Linked DNA regions of Rhinolophus ferrumequinum. The protein of the gene in region 1 purifies or fractionates together with the protein of each later gene. This does not show direct contact. Links are inferred from orthologs where the notes say so. Each region holds a gene or a part of one and is shown in the gene's direction. Other genes may lie near its edges.

What was found. Proteins that work in one complex are often made in the same cells at the same time.
Region 2: the proteins of POP1 (region 1) and RPP25 purify together in Homo sapiens (affinity purification with mass spectrometry; 3 studies listed by BioGRID and IntAct, counting the BioPlex papers as one, with this or other methods). This does not show direct contact. The link is inferred for Rhinolophus ferrumequinum from reciprocal best matches to the Homo sapiens genes POP1 and RPP25.

What each region holds. Positions count from the first base shown.
Region 1 is NC_046297.1:40,023,162-40,030,045, forward strand, and holds the start of POP1 (ribonucleases P/MRP protein subunit POP1), read left to right. Parts: upstream 1-3,880; 5' UTR 3,881-3,891; coding exon 3,892-3,997; intron 3,998-6,257; coding exon 6,258-6,401; intron 6,402-6,884. Other genes in the region: RIDA (2-iminobutanoate/2-iminopropanoate deaminase), read right to left, coding at 3,635-3,699. UniProt on the Homo sapiens protein: Component of ribonuclease P, a ribonucleoprotein complex that generates mature tRNA molecules by cleaving their 5'-ends. Also a component of the MRP ribonuclease complex, which cleaves pre-rRNA sequences.
Region 2 is NC_046289.1:99,496,833-99,504,699, reverse strand, and holds the start of RPP25 (ribonuclease P protein subunit p25), read left to right. Parts: upstream 1-5,009; 5' UTR 5,010-5,219; coding exon 5,220-5,861; 3' UTR 5,862-6,248; intron 6,249-7,867. UniProt on the Homo sapiens protein: Component of ribonuclease P, a ribonucleoprotein complex that generates mature tRNA molecules by cleaving their 5'-ends. Also a component of the MRP ribonuclease complex, which cleaves pre-rRNA sequences.

The sequences.
Region 1 (6,884 bases):
AATGTGTTGAACTGATTAGCTAATTAGTGACAACACCCCATCCACCCCAATGCCAGGGACTGAAAGTTCAACACATTTGAATTTTTCCTGGAAAAGACCCAGAATTTTCAAAAAGTGCACTCACTACCAACTCCATGCATAAAATCTCATTTTCCAAATGGTTGTTAAAACACGTCCAATTAACTTTATCAGGACATAACTAGTTAGGTGGAGTATGTTTTTTTCTTCATAAAATATTGAAAATTAGCACCATTTCTAGTATCATTTTTGGATACAAAAAAGCACAAGAGGCACAATATCCTGGAAAGTCTCCACACAATGAAGCTGGTTGATGGCTTTCCTCTTGTCATACGGGCATATTCATGGAATGATTCCCTTCTCTTTTGCTTGCAGCTTTATAAAGATAGTTGACTCCCAGGTCAGTCAACCAGGGGTACTACTATCCTGCTTTCTTTCTTGAACAAAGTATATACTTGAGGAAGATATATGCTCCAGGCTCTGTGATCACTTTGCTTTGTTAAGGATCACTTTTATTCTGAGGTAAAAATAATGGGTGATTGAGGGATAAGCATTAGGGCATAAGGAGGAAGAAGATTACTGATTTTTTCTTTTACTGTAATATCCCTTATCTATTCTTAATATCTTCTCCTCAAATTACTATCAGAATTCTCTTCTTAAAAGAGATCAGATCATGTCACTTCCTCTTCAAAAACATTTGATGGCTCCTCAGTGCATTCACAATAAAGTTTATACTCTTCAGTTTAGCGTTGGAAACCATCACAATTCAGACCTTGTAACAGCTAATGTTTAGCAAGAGACAAAACAAAAATTCAAATTCAAAGTCTAACTCCTAACAAGTGTTTGCCAAAGCGTAGGTCACACACAAATACAGAATATCAGTAAGGAAATGATTTCCTTTCCATTCTCTTTCTTCATCTGAAAAATGGGGACTGTAATACTAGTAACTGTGTACATAAAGCACTGAGAACAGTGCCTACTGCTGAGTAAGCCTCAATAAAGGTTAGCAATTAAGAGTTCAATCCGCTAATTACATGGAGAAAACAAGTTAAAGAAACCTATCATTTTTAAAAAAAGAGAAAGGCCTTGGGTTTTGAGCCAACTGCAGTATCTAGCTAGAATTTAATAACATTTTTTATTCTATTGAGTTTATTTTTTACTGTTACTGCCTATTGGGTTTTCTATTTAGAGTACTGTCGTAAAGTTTGCTTTTTAAATTTGTAAAAGTGAGCCATCACAAAATAAAGTGTAAAGTAAATTATAATATAGGTGGTACACAGATTTGGCAAATGAAAAAAAGAGTTTAAAAAGAAAAGAAAAAAAGAGGAAAAGTGGTACTTGGATGACTAAATGTTACTCCAGAAAATCTTTATGCCATGTTTTCTTCTAGCTCTATACCTCAAGTCATTCACTCTAATTAGAATGCCCTTCACTCCACAACTTCCTGTTGAAGTCCTGAACAAAGTACAGTTCAACCCTGAACAATGTGAGGGTTAGGGGAGCCCACCCCCTCCCAACTGCTGAGAATCCAACTTTTGACTCCCCCAAAACATAACTACAAATAGCCTACCCTTGACTGGAAGCCTTACCAACAGCATAAATGGTTAACACATTTTGTACATAATATGTATTATATACTGCATTCTTACAATCAGGTAAGCTAGTGAAAAAAATGTTATCAATAAAATCATAAGAAAAATACATTTACAGTATTTATTGAAAAAAAGCCACGTATAAGTGGACCTGTGCAGTTCAACCCATGTTGTTCAAGGGTCAACTGTAATTTAAAAATCAAACTTTACAATAGTACTGTAAATGCAAATCCAACCTTCAAAACCCACCTCAAAGACTACCTCTCACTAGGAACCTTCCTAAATCTTCTGTCCCTCTGCCCAAGGTTAGCATCAAATTCTTTCTTTTCCTCTTTTGTCACCGCTCACCCAACCTCCATGTCCCCTCAGTCCCACTGCACTTTATTTCTAACCCTACTATAATAATTACTCATCTGCCACACGTAAGTGTAGGGCTTGTTCAAATTAAGCTCTGTCACTTGCAGACTGTTTGACCTTGGACAAGTTCACTTTGAGCTTCAGTTTTCTTTTTGTAAAGTGGGGATGGGACTTAAGAGAAGTTGGTCTGTTATGGTGCTTGCTATGCAACATGCACTAAATTAAAATGTTTGTTTTTCGTTTCCCGATATGTGTGACTGTCTTTCATACTGGATTGATTCTTACACATTTTTATATCTCCTGCAGTGTTTGGCAAATAGTAGGTACTCAATACATGTTTGTCATAGTTCAAGTGTTCCAGTTGCAGAAATTTTCCAGCTGTAGTTAACAGTGAACATACTACAGACTATTTTAAAAAGGAAAATGGAAAAAAGTTACAGGATATACTTTAGTGAAGAATTAAAAATAACAAAAGTAATATTAGGAAAAAAAGTCTCCAAGAATGCATATAAGGTCCAATAATTTTAAAGCTGAGACATTTTTAAGAAAACAAAATCTAAAAAAAAAAAAAGGAATTAAACTTTCAATTTAACAGTGCTTCTGTACACAAGATAGACTTCTGGCCAGTATACCTATTTTAACTAGAGCATGTCGGGCAATCTTAGAAAATGATCTTTCTTATGATTTGTATTTTATTTTAGTAGTGTGAAATAAACATGGGCAAAGAATTCATAAATATCACAATGCATTTATATATGTGCTGTAAAATCCAGGGTCGTGGGTAGATGTGCAAGGTTTTGCTAAGCATTTCTGTGAAAAGAACTCACCTCTCCCGAGGGCACCCACATCTGTGGATAGGATTTACTCCTTTGAATTAAGACAGAATTAGACCAAACATTATGCCAAGTGAAAGAGAAGTCAAGTCACAAAGGACCACATATTGTAGGATCCATTTACTATACATTTAGAACAGGCAAATCCATAGATACCAACAGTAGATTAGTGGTTGCCAGGGGCTGGAGGAAGAGAGTGACTGCTAATGGGTATAGGGTTTCTTTTTTGGGGTGATACAAATTCTGAGATTACATACAGTGTTTCCCCGAAAATAAGACCTAGCCGGAAAATCACCTCGAATGAGTCTTTTGGAGCAAAAATTAATATAAGACCAAGTCTTATATTAATTTTTGCTCCAAAAGACACGTTAGAGCTGATTGTTCGGCTAGGTCTTATTTTTGGGGAAACACGGTAGTGGTGATGGCTGCACTACTCTGTGAGTATAGTAAAAAAGTCACTGGATTGTACACTTTAAAGGGCTGAATTTTATAGGTATGTGAATTATATCTCAATAAAGCTGTTACAAAATAAATAAATAAAAAACAGACCACGTCTAACCCCAGAAACTTTCTGGCTGACTGCGCTCCCCCGTGAGGCAGTCCACCCGGGTCGGGGCAAAGTCTCCGGGAGCGCAGGCTTTGTGTCTTAGTGGGGTTCCTAACCCACTGTGGGTCCATGGGTGCGTTGCCCCGTTTCCCGAGTTAGGTTTCCTCAAGTGTTAGATTAGGTTGGCCCAGGCCCACCCCAGCTATGATCCGGGTGGTCACTGCCGAACAGCTCACCCCACACCCGACACGCCTGGGGTCCGACCGCGCTCCCACAAGCCTAGTTACCTGTAGGGACCAATGGCCCCTGGGGCTTTCGTGGTGCTGATCACCTTTCTGATCAAGGATGACATAGCTAATCTTTTTCCTTTGAGGCCTCTTGGAGAGAACTATCCGGTACACTACCCCAGCTCGCGACTACTGGACTATCCAGAGTCCAGCAGTGCCACCAGAAACAAGACGCCGGGGCGCGTTCGCTCAGCGTTCTGGGAGTTGTAGTTTCCTTGCGGCTCTCGGCCACGTGGAGACAGCGGTCGCACTGGCGCATGCTCCCTCCAGCTCTCTCACCGTTCACGTCGTTTTGGAGACTGTGGCGGAGCCTTGTCATTCTGACCGGGAAGCCCTGGCTTCCTCCGTCGGTTCGTCAAGCAGGTAGGTCATGAGGGGATGGTGTCTGTTAGGGTCCGCGACTTTGGGGGAGTGAGTGAGTGTGTGTGTGTGTGTGTGTGTGTGTGCACGCACGCACCCTGCCCGGCGTCCGCGTACTGTCCCCCACGTCCCCACCCCCTATATCTTCTCTTCCCTCAGACCCCACTGGCTTCTTCTTCCCTTGCTGTCTGCTCCTGGGCCCCTCTTGCCGATCCCACACCTCCCTCGGCCCCTATGCTCGAGCCCTCTAAGTTTATCATTTTGTTGCATTGCCCCACCGGGCGGAGGCCGTTCTGGGAATGGGCTTTTACCTTCTCTCCTTAAACCGTAGAGGAACGAGATGGATCATTCAGGGGACCACGCTGGGATTTAGTCCTTTTCCACCTTCCCGCCCCTCCCATGTTCCCTTTTTTTGAGTACTCCTGGAGCTTTACGAGGTCTCCATGCGTTCCGCTTTGATCTGAGCAGAGCCCTAGTGTGTGGGATCTGATTTCAAAAAGGAAGATAGTGATCTTGATCCAGCAAAGGGCCCCAGGGTTGGTCACTTGGCAGCTATGCAATCGTCATGCTGTGTCAGAAGAGTGATACTTGGCTATTTTTTATTTTGTTAATTAGTACTTTGCAGGTACGCTTCACTCCCTCATTTATGCGCACATATGTACATTCAACAAATATACATTGAGCCCCTTCTTTGTGCAAGGCACTTCGCTAGGTGTTGGAGAAACAGGAGTAAAAAAGTTAGGTAGGATCCCTGTCCTGCCCTGCTTTTAAAACATAATATAAGAAAATCCTGTTTATTCTCCTCATTTTGCCCCACATACTGCTAAGGTTTTGGCTTTCCTACTTCTGCTCAAGAACTTTCGTGTTTTTTCATTATTTCATAATGTCATCTAATACAATTTTGGTGAAATATTTGCATACAAGAAATGCATATCATTTATTAAAATTACTTTTTAGTTCTTTTTTTTTAATGATTTTTTTTTATTGGGGAAGGGGAACAGGACTTTATTGGGGAACAGCGTGTACTTCCAGCACTTTTTTCCAAGTCAAGTTGTCCTTTCAATCTTAGTTGTGGAGGGTGCCATTCAGCTTCAAGTTGTTGTCCTTTCAGTCTTAGTTGTGGAGGGCACAGCTCAGCTCCAGGTCCAGTTGCCGTTGCTAGTTGCAGGGGGCACAGCCCATCATCCCTTGCGGGAGTTGAATCCAGCAACCTTGTGGTTGAGAGGATGGCACTCCAACCAACTGAGCCATCCAGGAGCTCAGTGGCAGTTCAGCTCAAGATTCCGTGTTCAATCTTAGTTGCAGGGGGCACAGCCCACCATCCCTTGCAGGACTCGAGGAATTGAACCGGCAACCTTGTGGTTGAGAGCCCACTGGCCCATGTGGGAATGGAACCGGCAGGCTTCGGAGTTAGGTGCATGGAGCTCTAACCGCCTGAGCCCCCGGCCGGCCCCGGCCCCCACTTTTTAGTTCTTTAGATTACAATTAGGGCCCATATTGTAGAGCATGCATTGATAAAATTTATACATGTCTGGTAGGTTATGTTATTAGTGAATTTCATTTAAAAATAGAAAACGGGTCTTTGAAACTATGCAGAAAAAAAGGGGGATGTTGAAAATTGAGAATTACTGAGTAAATCCATCAGGCTTTTCCAGATTATTGTCCTTTATCCTTCCTTCAAATTGAAATATTTTTGCTGTTATAAATTAAAGGTGCAGCTGGCCTCATCTCAGTAGTAGAAATGAAAACATCAATAATTTATGTTCAGTTTTCGTAAAGGTTATCATATCAGAATAGTGTGTTCTATATTTTAGTGATTCAGGTGGCTCATGTTTTACCCAAGAATTTTGATTAAATGCTTTAGTTAATTTAATTTTTTATCATGGCATAGGGATCTTATCTCATACCTCATTTTTCATTCAAAAGACTTTATGCAGTTGCCAACATTGGTATATGATTTAATTATTTGGCAGCGTAACTGGAATGTACCAGTATAGTCTCTTGCATCAATAGCATTATTTCTTCTATTGAATCAGATTTTTGATGTTAATACCATTCATGGCTCCTCTAGAGATCCCCCTGGTTATTAATCCCTGCTATATATCAATATCATGATAACATTTTGATATCACCAATCCACCTGAAATAAATAAAGATTTATTATATTGAAGAATTAAATATTGAATCACATGAATATTTATTAAATTTATTTTTGAATGGAAGTTTCCTTTCCCTGTACTAAATTTGTTAACTTTCTTCCCAGAAATGTCTAATGCAAAAGAAAGAAAACATGCTAAGAAAATGAGAAACCAGCCCACTAATGTGACTTTATCCTCTGGCTTTGTGGCTGATAGAAGTGTAAAGCACCATAATGGAGGTGGAAAACCTTTCCGAGCTCAAAAACAAGGTAAGATACACCTAATGCTCTCTCCACTCCCATTTGGAGCAAATTTCTTTCCTCAGCACCTTTTGATAGTTATTATCTAAATAGTAAATGAGCTGAGTTAAAAACAGATACAGTTGACCTTCATTATTTGGAAATTTTGTATTTGCAAATTCACCTAGTTGTAAAAGTTTATTTGTAACCCCAAAATTAATACTCATGGCACTTTGGTGGTCACTAGCAAAGTGGAGAAAAAATTCAAGTCACCCACATGGACGTTCCCAGCTGCCTTCTTGTTTCAACTTGCATACGGAGATGACCAGAGGATGGAGACAGTGGGTGGGCAGTGCAGTATAGTGCAAGAAGCTCCAGCTCTTAGTGGGGTTTGAATTCCAACTGTGGGGTGACCTCAGGCAGGTCACTTAACACTTCTGAATGTGATTTTCTCTTTTGTAAAATAAAGAAAATAGAACCTACCAGGATAAGTTGTTTTTACCATTTAAGATT
Region 2 (7,867 bases), on another chromosome or scaffold:
AAAACTCTACCCTGGAGTGCCTGGACCTTCAGTATGGGTCGCTGGGGAGGACTGTGTCTGTCTGATGGCTTTCTGCCCTGTTTCCCTTTCCTGCTACAGGAGGTCTAGTGCCAGGAGGTCTAGAACAGACTCTGGAGGCCAGGATTCAGTCTAAGAGAAGAGGTACCTGGCATCTCTCTCTCTCTCTCTCTCTCTCTCTCTCCATCTCCATCTCTATCTCCCCCACCCCCACTGTCTTGCTCTGGGGGAAGCCAGCTATTATGTCAGGAGCGGATCTACAGAGAGACCCATGTGGTAAGGAAGGCCTCTGACCAACATGTGAGTGAGCTTGGGAGTGAATCCCCCAAAACTAGCCGACTCCCTCACAGTACCCTCACCAGAGGCGCTGACCTAGAACCACCTGTGAGCTGCTCTTGGATTTCTAGCCCTCAGGAACTATATATGATAATGAATGTTTTTGTTTTAAGCTGCTGCCTTTGGGGGTCATTTTTTTTATGCAGCAGTAAATAACCCATACATCTTTCTCACTCTAGGAACCCCCTCTCTTCCTTTTACTGGGCAGCTCAAATCAGGTGAGGTAGTAAAATGAGTCAGAGCACCTGCATTCAGATATCTGTGGTTGCAAGTTACTTACCCTCTCTGTGCTTCTGTTTCCACATTTGTTAAACAATGATGGAAAGGAAGATTGTGAAGATTAATCAGGGAATAGAACTGTGAGAGTACCTGGCCCAATGCTGGGCCCTTGGTGGGGGCCTGATAAACCTGAGCACCCAGTTCCTGACTCATTTGCATGCTCCCCCCCCCATTCATGGGCCGGGCTGGGACTAGGACCAGAGGCCTTGGGAGGTCCTCATGCTCCTGATGTGGATGTGACTGCTTTCTGTCCAGCAAACTGGAACCAGGCCACAATAGAGGTTGCTTTCTGCAAAGCTGCCTTAGAGATTGTCGTATCGTAATTAATGTTCATTCTGACACAAATCAGCACCCCTCTCCTGCCTCCTGCTCTGTGACGGTTGATGGAACAGGTTGTTGTCCTGACTCGGTCAAGCATGTTAAGCAATTTCCATACCGAGTGGCGTTCACATACTAGTACTGTGATTACCCCCTCCTTTACCCTGTGTAATTCTTTGGTGCCTGCCAAGCTGCTGGAGAATCCAATTCTCTTGCAGCCGCCCAAGACATGCCTCGTGTCTAAGTTTCCCTTAATAAACACCATTAATTACCAACTGGAGTGCTGTGACTCTTTCTTCGGTCTTTTCCCTGCCCTCCACTTACAGAAGCATATTTTCAGCCTCAGGTCTTTTCCCTGGGTCTGTCTATAGGAAGAGTCCTCTTCCCGCCATTGGAGACAGAGGAGAAGGAGACCTATCTTGTGCCACGGATTTTTCTCCCAGTCTTGGGGTGAGAAGAGACTTGTCCATGAGAAGCAAGATGTACTATTGGAAAGGTGCATAAGCCTGGCCAATGCAGAGCAGGGGCTGGTGCCCCAGTAGCCAGGCCTGTCACCACCTCCCCTTAGGGTGAAAGGAGTCTGATTTGCCACTCCTTAGTCCCTAACATATTGGGAAAACTGCAATTTCTAATTTCCTTTCCAATTTCCAATTTGCTCATTTCCTTTCCTTTTCACCAGCTTTCTTTCCCCTTCATCCCCCTTTTTAAATTTTTTAAATTTATCTTAAACACACATAATATATGAAAACTATTAGCCAGCATTTTCTGAGAACTTACTAGCTAATGTTCTAAGACTGTTAGGTGTCTCACAATCACTTTATGAGGCAGGTTCCTATGTTAGCACCATTTTACAGCTTAGAAAACTAAGGAATAGAGGTAAAGTAAACGCTCAAGGTCACAGAGGCAAAAGAAGCTAATGAAGCTCAGGCTTCAAGGTGAGTACCTCACTGACACGGGCAGTCCCAAGGCTCTGGGCTGAATTTTGTATTCATAGTTAGTAATTTAGCAGTTCTTTTCTTAAAGAGGCCCACAAAAACTGGAAGCGGCCTTAGAGGTAACAGATGTCGTATGCCGTCTTCTTGCAGATATTTAAAAAATACATTTACATCTACGCACATACACACACACACACACACACACGGAAATATCTCCCCCTTTAAAAATACCTGTGGTCCCACAGTGTGTACAGCTAGCACCCGACTCTTTTAACAGAAAGTCTTGACTCTCCACGGTTCTAACCGTCGAGGAGTGTCGGCCAAAGAAGCTCCAATTTATCAACCAACCTTCCCAGAGCTGAGCCTCCACTCCCCTCCGGACCGCGACCGCCCCTTCCCCCGGGTTCCTCCCCGCGTACTCTCCCTTCCTCCCGCTCCTCATCGCCGTTTCCTCCCTCACATCTTTGCTACGTCTATAACGCCCCCATTCCAGGCTGCTCCCTCCGCATTTCTCCTTTCCTTGCCCTGGCCCTGCGCTTCCGCGCCAACCCCGTTTCCTGCCCGGCGTGGCCCCTCTGCAGCCCCCGCTTCCTCTCGGCGGACCTCACTACTCTTACTTACGCAGCGTCGCCCCCACGCTTCTCGGATCCCTCCGACCCCCTCTTCCCAGCCCTGCCACTCGGCGGCCCCGCTGGAGCGCACAGCCGGCGGGCTACGACGCGCGCTGACAGGGTAATGAATGGCTTCAGCGGTAATTAGAGACCCAGCGGCTAATCATGGTGTACATTTACATTTTAAGTGCTGCAGAGGGAGCGAGGAAGGGGAGGGGACAGGGAGGAGGGAGTGCGGGCCTTTTCGGCGCTCTCCCTTCAAGGACCCCGGAGCGAAGTGAATCCAAGTCCTGTACAGCTGACGGCAGGCGCGGGGCGGGAGGAGGGTGAGGGGAGCCCCGCCTTCCCGGGCCAGACCAGGCGGCGCCGCATCCTCACCCTTTGCAAAACCAGAGCTCACAGGCCCTTTCTTCCAAACTGCAGACTCCTGCCTTCATGCCCCTCCACACACCCAAGGGAACGTTCTGCCTTGGTTTATATACCCCGCGGATGAAGAGCTTGCTTTTTCCCTAAACAACCCGATCCAAGGTTCTGTGTTTCCCGGAAAATAAGAGCTAGCCTGACAATCAACTCTAATGCGTCTTTTGGAGCAAAAATTAATATAAGACCCGGTATATTATATTATGTTATATGATACTATGTTATATTGTATTATACCGGGTCTTATAGCAAAATACGGTTGGGTATTATATTATATTATATTATACCGGTCTTATAGTAAAATAAGACCTGGTCTTATATTAATTTTTGCTCCAAAAGACACATTAGAGGTGATGGTCCGGCTAGGTCTTATTTTCCGGGAAACAAGATAGCTTCCGGCTGTTCAGGGACTTTCTCAGGCCTAGCCAAACTGCCGCCTTTTAAGTCCCACAACTTCCCTGGCCTTACAGAGTGTGGGGTCCCCTGCGCCCCCCCCCTCAAGCGCTGCAGTCTTTGTGTCTTCTCAAGGCTGCTGTGCCTCCGGCTTCTATGGCTGTTCCTCGTGGGGCCCGCGGGAGCTCACGCGGGGCCCAAGTCCAGATTCAGAGCAGAACGCGACCGGAGGGCCCCTCATCCCAGCGAGCGACCAGGGGATCGGGGGAGGTCCGTCACTCAAACGTTGGGACGCAAAGGTCCACCTGCTCCAGCCACTCCCAAAGAGCGGTAATGGGGTTAGCCCGGATTTCTGAACAGCAAAGGCCGAGAGCTAGGAGTTACAGGATGCCGAGGAGGCGATAGCAGCCTTGAAAAGGGAGAGGAGGACTCCGGCAGCTCCATCTTAAGACTGGGGCCCAGCTTCCCCAGACATTGTCGTGCCCCCAACACTTTCAGGGTTGCCCTCCACTAGCTCTTCGTGCGCCACTCCGCCACGTTCCGTCTTAGGCACCCCACCCGGATCAAGTCTGCCCCACTCTCTCAGTTCTGACTGTGAGGTGCGTGAGATGGGTGGAAGGATAAAGGCGCTGGGGCCGTTCTAGGAAGGGTCCCGCTCCTGCAAACCCCTGCCTGCCTTCAGCAGTCCTCGCCTCTTGGCTTCACTGTTCATCTCTCCTGGCAGGAGACCTGGGGCCACTCTCTCTCGGTCCAGCGGAGTTCCCGGAGAGGGGCACCCAATAGCTTCATAATGCCACCAAAGCTTCAACTTCCCATCTTCCTCCCTTTTCTCTTTTAAAATCTGTCTTCGCCCAGTCTCCTTTTTGGAAAAGGACCCCAGAGGTCTCGGGGCCAAAGCTGACTGACAGCGAACCACTTGGGAAGAAGGGGGATTCACGTCAGCAGGGAAACATGCCTGGCTTATCCTAAGGCCTGCAGCTCTAATAGTAGACTTTCAGGCAGGGGTGGAAGGAGCTTAACCCCCCTTGAAAAGGGATCTCCTTGTTCTCTTCCCATTCATCCCAGGGAACAGTTTGGCCAAGAGCCTCACTGCCTACTCCCCAGGGGTGTCCCGGTGTCCGGTAACCTCCAAAGCAGTCAGGCGCGGCTAGGCTGAGACCTCAGCCTCCGGCTGCCCCGTGAGGACCACGCCGCGACGTAGTCATCCGAGGGCAGGCACGGAGTAGGGCCGGAGACAGCGCCTTCCGCACTTGCTGACCGTGCACAGGCTGTCCTTGAGCCAAGAATACTGGCTCAGGAGCGGAAGCGACAGAGTTGGGGGGGTCCCCAAAGGAGTGGGGGAAAGAGGCCCTGCAGGCCGCTTGTAAGTCTCTCCGTGGGAGGGGAGAAGAGGCTGTCTTCAATTGGAACGCACGCGGAAGGGCTTGGGGACCCTGCTTGAAGCGGCGTTTGCAACGCAAACACAGTTTTTATTTAGCTTGCCCGTTTATAAGGGTTGGCTCGGGGAGGGCTGATGACGATTATAGGGGAACTTCGCCTACCAAGTCACCCTCTGGCGCTGCCGTTGCGCACCAGGATGCGCGCTGCTCCTACGCCCCTATAGCAGAGGATCTGACCGGATTCCTAGAGGCGGGTGAGGCTGGGGCGGAGGCGAGAGGACCGAGTTAGGGGCGGGGCCTGAAGGTAGGGGCGGGGCTCCCAGGCTCCCAGGCCGGGCCTCCGCTAAAGGCGCGGAGCATCCGGCGCCGAGAGCGCAGAATAGAGCAGCGATCCCTGGAGAGAAGTGGGAAGCAACGATCGCGCCGTCGCAGCCAGCCCGCCAGCGTCCGAGCCGCTCCCGCACCCTTACCCCTGCCGGCCTTTACCCAGTCGACCAGCGGCCATGCAGCTCCGAGGCTGAGGCGACCCCATGGCGAAGCCCGCGTCCCCGCGGTCCGGGCAACGACGGCGCATGGAGAACTTCCGTAAGGTGCGCTCGGAGGAGGCGCCGGGGGGTGGTGGGGCGGAGGGGGGCGGCCCGGGCTCCGGCCCCTTCGCGGACCTGGCGCCCGGCGCTGTACACATGAGGGTCAAGGAGGGCAGCAAAATCCGGAACCTGCTGGCCTTCGCCACCGCCAGCATGGCGCAGCCAGCCACTCGCGCCATCGTATTCAGCGGCTGCGGTCGGGCCACCACCAAGACCGTCACGTGCGCCGAGATCCTGAAGCGCCGCCTGGCTGGCCTGCACCAAGTCACCCGGCTGCGCTACCGGAGCGTGCGCGAGGTGTGGCAGAGCCTCCCGCCAGGGCCCACGCCGGAGCAGAAGCCCAGTGAGCCGGCCGCCAGCCTCAGTGTACTTAAGAACGTGCCCAGCCTCGCCATCCTACTTTCCAAAGATGCACTGGATCCGCATCAACCTGGCTACCAGCCCCCGAGCCCCCATCCTGACTCTTCATCTCAGCCAACCGCGCCAACGCCCAAGAGGAGCTTAAGGGAACCCGCTGCTGGAGAAGGCTCCGCGAAGCGGTCACAACTCGAGCCAGGTGCTGCGGAAGAGAATCAGACGACCTGAACACTCCCGGCCCTGGGCCACCAGACGGGCTGGATCTTAGCCCCAGCGCCTCCACCTTGAGACGTACCTCCAGCCGTTCACACCTCGGTCAGCCGGAGCTCACAGCCTGCTCTCAACTCCTCAGACTGGTTTCGTGGACCCCACACCACAAGAGAGGGACCCAAGGAAGCTTCGTGGGGCGGTTGCTCCTCCACTTGTGTTGCCTGAAAGCAACCTTCATCTTTTCTGAGCCATACTGGGATCCTCTTCAGGGAGGGAATTCCGGGCAGTGGGACTCTTGAGCCTTACTCAGGACCCCGAACGGTTAGAGACACCCAGCATTCATGAGGAGGAGTGTGGAAGCCAAAGGGAGCTCTTGGAATTACCCCCACCAGCGGAGAGCAAGGGGTGAGAAACTGGTAGGGGAGTTTGTGTTGTGGGGAGCCCCATTCTGCCCCTCACCCCAAGACATTTACCTTTGTAGTTTTCCTTCCCCTGCTTTTAAGGAACATCCTGAGATTATGGTGGCCAGGCATCGCCCCTGGCTCTAGCTCTTGTAACATCCCCCCCTCCCCATGCTGGCCCAGAGGGACAGACCCAGGACAGAACTCTCCATGCCTCCTCCCTTGAGCCCCACAGCTGGAGTCTTGCTTCCAATAAAACAAACACAAAAATGGCTCTGTCCCAGGTTTTTTCCTAACCACTTGCCGGGCAAAGACAGCTCTGGCCTGCCCCCTTGTGTCTCAGTCCCCTCCAGCCTGGGATTCTTAGCCTTTGGAGTCTTCAGGGTCAGGCACAGACTGGACAGTTTCAAAATGGTGTGAGAAGCACAGTGTTCAGTCCCTGGCTTCTCCCTCTCTCTCCAGCCTTCCCTGACTGCCTCTGGCCTCGGGCTTGTGGGTGGAAGGAGGCCTGTCTCCCCCTGTGCATCACCAGTAAGGAAAAGGGAGCAGCACATTGCTTTTCTAGGAGAGAAAGGAAGAAGAGCATGGATGAACTCCCCCGGGAGGTCATTGCCAAGAGTGGCAGAACCTACTGGGGTCCCTAAACCTGCAGCCTCCTGCCAATAGACTGAGCTTTGTCTAGAAGACCAGCACAAAGCCCCTCATCCCATGGGTAGGATCTCCTCTTCACTGCTCCTCTCTCTAAGAAAGGACAGCACACCCTTGGGAGAGGGGGCGGAGAGAGATGAGCACAAATCCATTGCTGGAAATTACTATTCAGCAGAGAAGCTGGGACTTGGGCTGTGAATCCCTGCAGGCTCCCTGATAAGCTGCTGCCTCCAGCCCTGCACAGCTGTCTGCTGAGAGATAACGGCCTCATAAGCCTTTCTGCCCAACTCCAACTCAGCTGGGGGAGGAGGAAGTGCTGTGTGCTGGAAGAACTCCAGCAAGTAAAGGGGGGGGCACATAGCCCCATGACCTCAGAAGCACACCTCACCCCATGCAACAAAACAGCACCCTGGAAAGGAGGAGATGGGGACTTACATTACACAAACGTAAGTCACTTTGCTGGCAGAACCCTGAAATAAATCCTTCTGCTGGTGATAAGAGGTACGTTTCTGCAGCTGACAGAAGTTGTCCCTCCCCCATGTCTCTGCTTGAGCTTTGGGTCAGGGAGGCCTCCCCTCCAGACTGGCACTGGTTGCCCTCCCAATTTATTGTTCTTGATGAGTCCCTGGGGAAGGCTGGTTGACTCTTTCAGGTGGCCAAATAAGGGTGGAAAGAATATAAATTATCCTAACGACCAAGGAGCCCTGGGTTGGTTCTGGGCTTCCTCATCTAAAAGAAACAAAACTTAGAAGAGGTAGAAGCTTAAGAGAGATTGGTCCTGGTTCTGGAAAAGGGCCAATGCTCCGAGACCACCAGTGTCTGAAGTCCTGACTGGGCAGTCACAAGGACTCTGCAAGCAGAGGCTTTCTCTCCGATGACTTGGGTCAGGTAAGTCCCCTTCTGGCCTGGAATCTCCCGGGGCGTGGAGAAAAGGGGGGCTTTTTGCTGCCCTACCTTCAGAATGTTACCTGTCCC